Cricetulus griseus: one gene and its partner. The protein of the gene in region 1 interacts with the protein of each later gene in a pairwise test. Links are inferred from orthologs where the notes say so. Each region holds a gene or a part of one and is shown on either strand. Other genes may lie near its edges.

Region 1 (4,407 bases):
TTGTGGTTTGGGTGGAGGTGTTTGGAAGGCCCCAAGAAGGAAGAAACTAATATAGGACTTATGAGATGTGACAGTGGTCAGTGTGCCTCTGGGCCTGAAGGGGGGGGAGGACTGGGTGTGTCCTTCCTTACCTTGTTAGTAACACTCTGCTTAGGGCTTTGCTATCTGGAAAACCTGTTTCCAAGAGGGGCAGTCTCCCTGCCTATGTACTGCTACTCGAAGGAGTAATGGAACACACAAGAACAGTAACAAAGATATAATTAAATACTTACTTAGCTTCTCAAGCTCCAGCCGCAAGTTCTGACACTCACGGGTTTCATTTACAAGCCTCTCCTGACTATGGGATAACCTCTTCTCTATCTCAAAGTATTGTTGTTCTAAAAAAGACAATACAAACATTAAAAGTAAAGTCAAGCACACATGCCCCCGCCAAAAGCAGTAGTCTTAATACCACTATTCATTTCTTAGAATAGTGACTGCAAAACTTAATATTTGAAAACCTATTCTCAATATAGATTTAGCACTGAAAAGGCTTTTCCAACATTTTCAACTGACATATAACAAAAGACAATATGCCTAAAAGGGGATTCATGAATTAATTTCTTCTAAGCAGGCAACAATGCCGTATCTTGGTATTTTCTCCAGACCTCAGGAGATTGCTAAACATTTAAAAGTATTTACTAAATTGAAATTTCATTTAATTAAAATCTGAGTAGTTTAAAAAGGTTTCATGTAAAATAGTTAAAATACCCACCTGCTTAAATTTCCGTAAAAAGAAACATGCAGACTTCCCACAAAAAAAGACTGAGAGCAGGGTGGTTGTAGCATGCCTTTGGTCCCAGCACTTGGGAGGTAGAGGCAGGAGGATCTTTGTGGAGACCAGCCTGGTCTACGGAGTGAGGTCCAGGACAGCCAGGGCTACAGAGAAACCCTGTCTCAAAAACTCACAAGAAAAAAAAAAAAAAAAGGGAGACCATGTAGACACTGTTTACTTCATTCTAGTATTGGTATTGGGACATATAAATCACTCAATATTTATTTCGTAAATAAACAGAATATGGTGTATTATTATGCAAATTTCTTATTTCACCAATGAACTGTATAATTTCAATTGTCAACTTTGCTTGATAAGTGAAAATTAACTCGGGTGGATTTTCCAATCTCTACCAAAATACTGCACCAATTCCCTCAATTAATGGTAAACCAAAACATGCAACAAGAAAAATTCTATTTTATTAACAGTAATTACTATTTTTATTTCAAGGCTGTTCCAACCACGAAGTTCATAACTTTCTCTTACAAAAGCAACTACAAGGGCATATAAGCAGATCTGTATATATTTTCTATCCATCTCCAACTTTGAGTGAAACACTATATATCCAACTCATTTAGTGCCATTTCACTGTTTTTCTAGTGATTTCTTTTGCATCCAAATTCATTTTTTGTGAACATCTCCAACTTTCTGAGGGAAGCACGATATACCCAACTCATTTAGTGCAATTTCACTGTTTTTTCTAGTGAAGTCTTTTGCATCCAAATTCATTTTCGTGACCATCTACTTAGTTATGGGACCACATGGAGACACATACACTAAGAACAAGGCATCGAAGAGATGAAATTGGCAAAGGCTTATACATCCAGGTGGGTAGAAAATGGGAGGAATTACGGTCATTTAAGAACAACAAAACGGAATCCGATTTGGTTGGCATAATCCTAAAAATCTGATGTAAACTGACCAAAATTCTTCACAGTTTGTATGTGGGCCCAAGTTAAGAGTTCCTACATAAGACGCGATGAAGGTGGATTTAGGTCTGGGAGGAGGACGGCTCTCTTCTTTTCTTTTTTTTTTTTTTTGTAAAAAAAAAAAATCAGTCATCGAGGAGAAAAGAGAAGGCCTACACTGCATCTGGAGCCTGTGTGATGCTACCTGCCCACCTCGCAGAGCGCAAGCGGGTGAAGAGGAAGGTCGAGCCACGGCTCCATCAGAGCTCTAAGGTGCTCAGCACTTACCGCTCTCCACCTTAAATTTCTCGTGCCGCCCCTTCAGGCCGTCGATCTCCGACTGCTGGTCAGCCAGGAACTTCTCAAGTTTGTTCTGGGTCGACTTCGGCAGCTTGTTCAGCTCCGGGCGCTCCAGCACTTGCTGCAACACCGCCGCCATGTCGGCCGGGGTCGCGGCAGCGGCGGCCGAAGGAGAAACGAAGGAGCTAGGCGAAGCGCGAAACCCCGATGCCTGAGGCGCCCCGTCTGCAGGGTCGCTCGCTGGCTCCCTCGCGCCTGCCCGCCGCAGACTCCCGCGGCGGGATCCTGGGAAATAGAGTCCCGCGTCAGACGCAGCACGGGCCGCGCCACCGCGCCCCGGGTGCGCACGCAGCCGCCGGCAGCTAAGCACGCTGGGAATGCGAGTTCACAGCGGGCCTCTGACCTAACTTTTGGTTGCACCCGCTTCCAGACCCAAAGACTCCTGGGAAATGTAGTATCTCTCACGACTCGCTTCCGCGAGCTTCGATACCCCCCTCCCCCTCCCGCACCTCCCGTTCCCTTTCCTTCTTTCTCCCCGCCCCCGGCTCTCCTCGTTCCGCGGTGACGAGTGTCCGCGCGGTGGCGCTACATACGTGCTCAGCAACCATCGTCCTTCCCCGAGGAGCAAGGCGACCTTACCGTCAAAACCCCGGGATGCCATGGGTACTCCTCGGTGGCCGCTGCTAGAAACCGAGCCGCTAGAGGGTCGCGGCAGGGCGGATCAGCAGGCTCCGGGCTGCCGCCACGCTCTCAATGGTGCCCGAAGGGGGCGGGGTGCAGGCCACACTTGCTTTGGTGGAAGAGCTGCGGAGATGAGTGCGGCACGGCCTGCGTCATCAGGCTGCGCCCGTCGGTGCCCTAGTTTGGAGCGGGAAGTGGTGCGACTGCAGTCGCTTTTTGATGAGTTCATAGGCTGTGGAAGCAGCACCTGAGTGGCATCTGACCCTTGAAGGCTGCTACTTGTCCTCTCACCCGCGTTCTCTTGCTGACCGAAGGTTCGGGGGATTTATTGGCCACGTGTGCACATTCTGCGAACAAGTGAGTGGGCCCACGAAGGTGTGTACACTCGAGCAACAACAACTTCCTCTTCAAAGGGAGCAAGGAAAGGGTATAGTGTAGGGAACATATGGACGGACAGTCACTCCGGTGCACTCTGAAGTCCAGTTCTGAGGAGTTTAGCTCATGTCAAACCTCGTACAAACATGCTTTTGGTACTTGGAGGTACTGATCGGTGCGAATTTAAGTAGTAATCCAGTTAATGTTTTAGACAAAAAGGAATCAGGAAGAGTTTGAATGTAGTTTATGTGTTAAGATGACATTGCAGGAAAAAAAAGTCTGATGTTGATGTTTTTATATGAAAATGTTAAAAAAAATTCCCAAGATACCATCTTGCCCCAATAACAGAACTATGTTTGTTCCCAGATCATGTTTCAGCACTTTCAGTACGTACTTTGTTTCATGCCTGGTTGCTTTTCTGGAATTTACTGACGCTTGATTGAAAATAAGGGCTAGCACATACCTATGATCTCAACAACAGAGTAAGAGGCAGAAGGGTTATAATTTCAGTACAGCCTGGGTTAGTAGTCAGACCCTGTTTTCAACGAAGTGGGTGGGAGGGGTTAAGTTAGTACGGGTATTATACTAGTTTCCATTCACAAACTGAAGGAGAGAACAGGAGCTGTCCTTTGCAATGATTTGATTGAAGGAAAGTATATGTTGTCTGTGTGAGCAAAACTGTCAGAGCTTAAATCCCGCCTTACACACACACACACACACACACACACACACACACACACACACCAGTCTTGTCATTTGGTGGAGTCATTTAACATTTCCTTCTTTTGATTTCTTTATGTATAAAACAGATATGACAGTAGTACTTGTGTAGTAGCGTTATATATTAAATGTCAATATATGGAAAGTACCTAGAATAATGCCCGGTGTAGAATGGAAGCTATATAGTTAGTTATCATTGTTGTACTACTGTTTACTTAAGTGGCTGTTAAGTGAGTTGTCTCATGTCAGCAATTATGGTTCACTTTTGTGCCTTCCCGCTGAGTACAATTTCTAGAAAGTAATAATTGTATAATATATATTGTGTAAAGAAATTTGAATCTCTCTGCCTCTTAATGAACTCATTGGAAATTCATGTCTCATAATTTAGAAATGAGAACATGGAAATTCACCAATAAATTAACAAAGAGAATGTAGCTGAGGAATAGATCTAAAATAAGAAATTAGATGTGTTGACTAATGGTTTCATTATTTCCTTATCCCAAGAATGAGAAATAGCTTTGATTTCTCATGGTTAATTGGTAATTGTGATTTTTTTTTTTGAGGTAGGGTTTCACTATTTTGATCCAATTGGTTTGGAACTCACTATAT
Region 2 (3,652 bases), on another chromosome or scaffold:
GACAGCAGTCTTTATCTTGCGACCAGAAACTGAAGTTCCGGAAGAAGAGAACATATTTTTCCCATTTGACCTGTGGAAAAACACAACATGTGACAGGATGCTCAGAACAAAGAGAGAACTCATAACCACTTAACATGACCAGTAACAAAATGGGGGGTGGGGGGGCAGTGAGGAAAATGCAGTTGTTACAAGCAAACGTCTTCTGCTCTTCCTGGCCTATAACTTGCTGCTTTTCTCTCAGATTGTAATACAGTCCCTAAAACTACAGTATCATAGTAGTTTTTACTATTACCCAAACTATATTACTGCCTGATTTACTTTTAGAAACACACACACCCCTTTACCAATGTAAAATCTCAATGAAATAGGATCATCTCTTACCCCACTGTAAATGATGCTGGAGACTGGCTGAATTGAAAGCCCCCTGAACCTGAGGGTTGGGCTGAGGCTGCTGGCGTGCTGGGATTTGCACCAAATGTGAACACTCCTGACGGATTATTGTTTGTGAAGTTGAAATTTGTGGTGCTGCTGCCAAATTGGAAAACAGAACCTATACAAATTAAGCAGAAATATTGCATTAATGACACAATGTTAAGATGGACGCTCACCTAGACATATTATAACATATGAAAAATTAAGATCTCAGCAAGGCGTGATGATGCACACCTCTAGTCCCAGCACTCAGGATGCACAGAGCAAAGAATTTCTGTGAGTTCAAGGCCAACCTGGTTCTATAGAACCAGTAAAAGACCAGCCAGGGCTACCACAAAACAGGAGAATTTAGAGCACACATGAGCTAAGTACAAACACCAGAATACAAGATGAACCTTACAAACCAGTAACCAAACGAAACTAAAGGACAAAATACTTATAAAAGAATTTGCAAAAAAATGGAAAATACATAGAAACCAAATAAGAAGTTTGTCATCCAGCAGTGGCAGCATGTGAAGTGGAAAACCCCAGCAGGAAGTGTGTAATAAATACCTTTTAAATTATGGGGTAACCTTTCTATTCAGAGCGCATCAAGAGAAACACATGTGCTCCCCCAAAAGGTTAATATCCTCTACTCTATAACATGTAACACAGCATTTCCTGACAGTCAAAACTGACTAACACAAAACAGTAAATGAACAGACTGACAACCACTCTGCAGCAGGGACAGAACCATATGCAACAGCACAACACAGAAAATGTAAGAGCAAAGAAGCAAGGTGCACACAGCAAGAGTCCACTGTATAGATAAGTATCAGGCAAAGCTTTATTTTCTAGAGGTATCAGTCAACTAGAGTCCAATGGACAGGACAGTGGTCACCATTAGAGCAAAGAAAGAGGAGTATAATCACATGTGCCTCCAGCTGTCTGTACACACATACAAGCTTCCACACTATGACTCTTTCATGAGATAATTCTATTAGAAAGATCAAATGGTAAAATTTTGAAAGAATGCCGTATTAAAATACAGTACAATCAGTTGAATTTAAAAAGTCACAAGAAGCAATTCCACTCCTAGGCATATACCCAAAAGCAATACATTCACACAACAAGGACATCTGTTCAACCATGTTCATAGCAGCATTATTTGTAATAGCCAGAAACTGGAAGCAGCCTAGATGCCCCTCGACTGAAGAATGGATAGAGAAAATGTGGTACATTTACACAATGGAGTACTACTCAGCAGAAAAAAAACAATGGAATCTTGAAATTTGCAGGAAAATGGATGGAACTCCAACAAACCAGTCTGAACCAGGTAACCCAATCACAAAAAGACAAACATGGTATGTACTCACTCATATGTGAATTTTAGACATAGAGTATAGGATTACCTGCCTACAATCGACACTCCCAGAGAAACTAGTAAACAAGGAAGACCCTAAAAGAGACAAACTTTATCCCCTGAAGAAGGGGAAAGGGTCACCATCCCCTGAGCAAATTGAGAACATGGGAAGAGGGAGAGAGGGAGCTACGAGAATGAGAAGGGAAGAAAAGAAAGAATGCTGAGGTCATGAGGGAGCAGAAAGGTTGAGTCAGGTGTAGATTAGAAGAAAGGATATGGGATAGGTAGGGTTTTAGTTGGGGGGGTGGTAGGGGAGGAAGGGAGGGAGAAGGGAACTGGGATTGTCATGTAATTCAATCTTGCTTCTAATTCAAATAAAAAAATGCTGCATGACACTCATCTTCAACACCACTGACAGTTGAGAAAACATTTTTCTTACCTTTTATGTTTCTTAAATATTTTTGTAATTAGATTTGAAAAATATGACATGTAATATTCTACTTGGTATATTTATAAATGATAAAATAATACTAATCTTGATTTTAATGAAGTTATAAATGAAAATATGTTTCATCTTATCATAACTTTTTTTATAACTGTTTGCTTACCTTGAACTCCTACCTTATACAAAATTAATGTTTGAAATAATCAAATTTTCATTGTCTTTATAAATATGCATATAATACATTCTTATTATTCAGTATTAATTCAGATAAAAATTCTAGTTTCTGAATTGAACTTTAAATCTAGTTAGTCTAGCTATAAGTTACTCAAAGATTTGGGTTAATTCTTATTTTTACATCATAAATAATACAAATTATATAAAAGGCATCAATGTCTAGGAACCACAAAATTTATGTTTTATATCTTCAATATTGATGTTTCTTGATTTAATTAGTATCTAAAATGTTGTATATTGCAATTAACCAAGATTTAAAAATTAAACAATCCTGTATTTACTAATAAAAACACAATACTACAGTGAAAACAAAGGCAGCTAAAAGTCCTATTTCCTGTTTCCTGCCAAGCAGTATGTAAAACTTGTTGGGGGAGGAGCCTCCAAGGAGGAGGTTATCTTCGTGAAATTTCCATTCTTCCTGGTGATGCTGATTGCCTGCCCCCATCCCCAAGACTAGCCTTAAAAAGAAGAATTCAGACTTTTATGATTCCCCCATAGGAGGCCTCACACTCTCTGAAGAATGGATGGGGGTGGGATGAGGGGATGGGGGAGAATGGGAGGACAGGAGGAAGAAGGAACTGGGATTGGGATGTAAAGTAAGATTGTTTTTGATTTAAATAAAAAAATTAATTTAAAAAAGAAAAAAAAAGCCACAAGAACTTTTGGTGATATGCAGAGGGAACAGCAGTATTATCCAACTGCTGTGAGACAAGTCAGCACAAGTAAGGTCTAACTTCCCAAAGGAAATCAAAACCCTACTCCACGGCAGCCTACAGGGAAACAGAGACATCAGAGGAAAAAATACTTTTAAATATCCTTTAATGCCATCAAATGCAGTGACTAAAACTCTACAATGTAAAACACCACACTTCACGGTTAAGTATAAAACATTAGAAAATAAGATATACACATGGTTTCAAAGTTCAAAAAAAAAAAAAAAAAACAAGCAAAACAAAACACTATTTTAAGCCACCAGACTCAAAGAACAGATACAACGTGTCATTACTCAACTTACTGGAATTAGGAGCTGTCCCAGAGCCAAATGCAGACTGACTAGGCTGCTGCCCAAACACAGGAGGTTGGCTGCTGCTTGACACTGCCCCAAAAGTAGGTGGTGGTGCAGGCTGGGAACCAGCAGAAAACAACGATGTTGAAGATGATATAGAGCCAAAGCTTGGAGGGTTAGGTTGGCTGGCACC

The links. The genes of interacting proteins can lie anywhere in the genome.
Region 2: the proteins of Tpr (region 1) and Nup153 interact in a two-hybrid assay, tested with the Homo sapiens proteins (3 studies listed by BioGRID, with this or other methods). The link is inferred for Cricetulus griseus from reciprocal best matches to the Homo sapiens genes TPR and NUP153.

Annotation. Positions count from the first base shown.
Region 1 is NC_048598.1:41,200,453-41,204,859, forward strand, and holds the start of Tpr (nucleoprotein TPR), read right to left. Parts: upstream 2,829-4,407; 5' UTR 2,684-2,828; coding exon 2,662-2,683; intron 2,308-2,661; coding exon 2,011-2,307; intron 378-2,010; coding exon 273-377; intron 1-272.
Region 2 is NC_048596.1:266,378,229-266,381,880, forward strand, and holds part of Nup153 (nuclear pore complex protein Nup153), read right to left. Parts: coding exon 3,469-3,652; intron 551-3,468; coding exon 382-550; intron 71-381; coding exon 1-70. UniProt on the Homo sapiens protein: Component of the nuclear pore complex (NPC), a complex required for the trafficking across the nuclear envelope. Functions as a scaffolding element in the nuclear phase of the NPC essential for normal nucleocytoplasmic transport of proteins and mRNAs.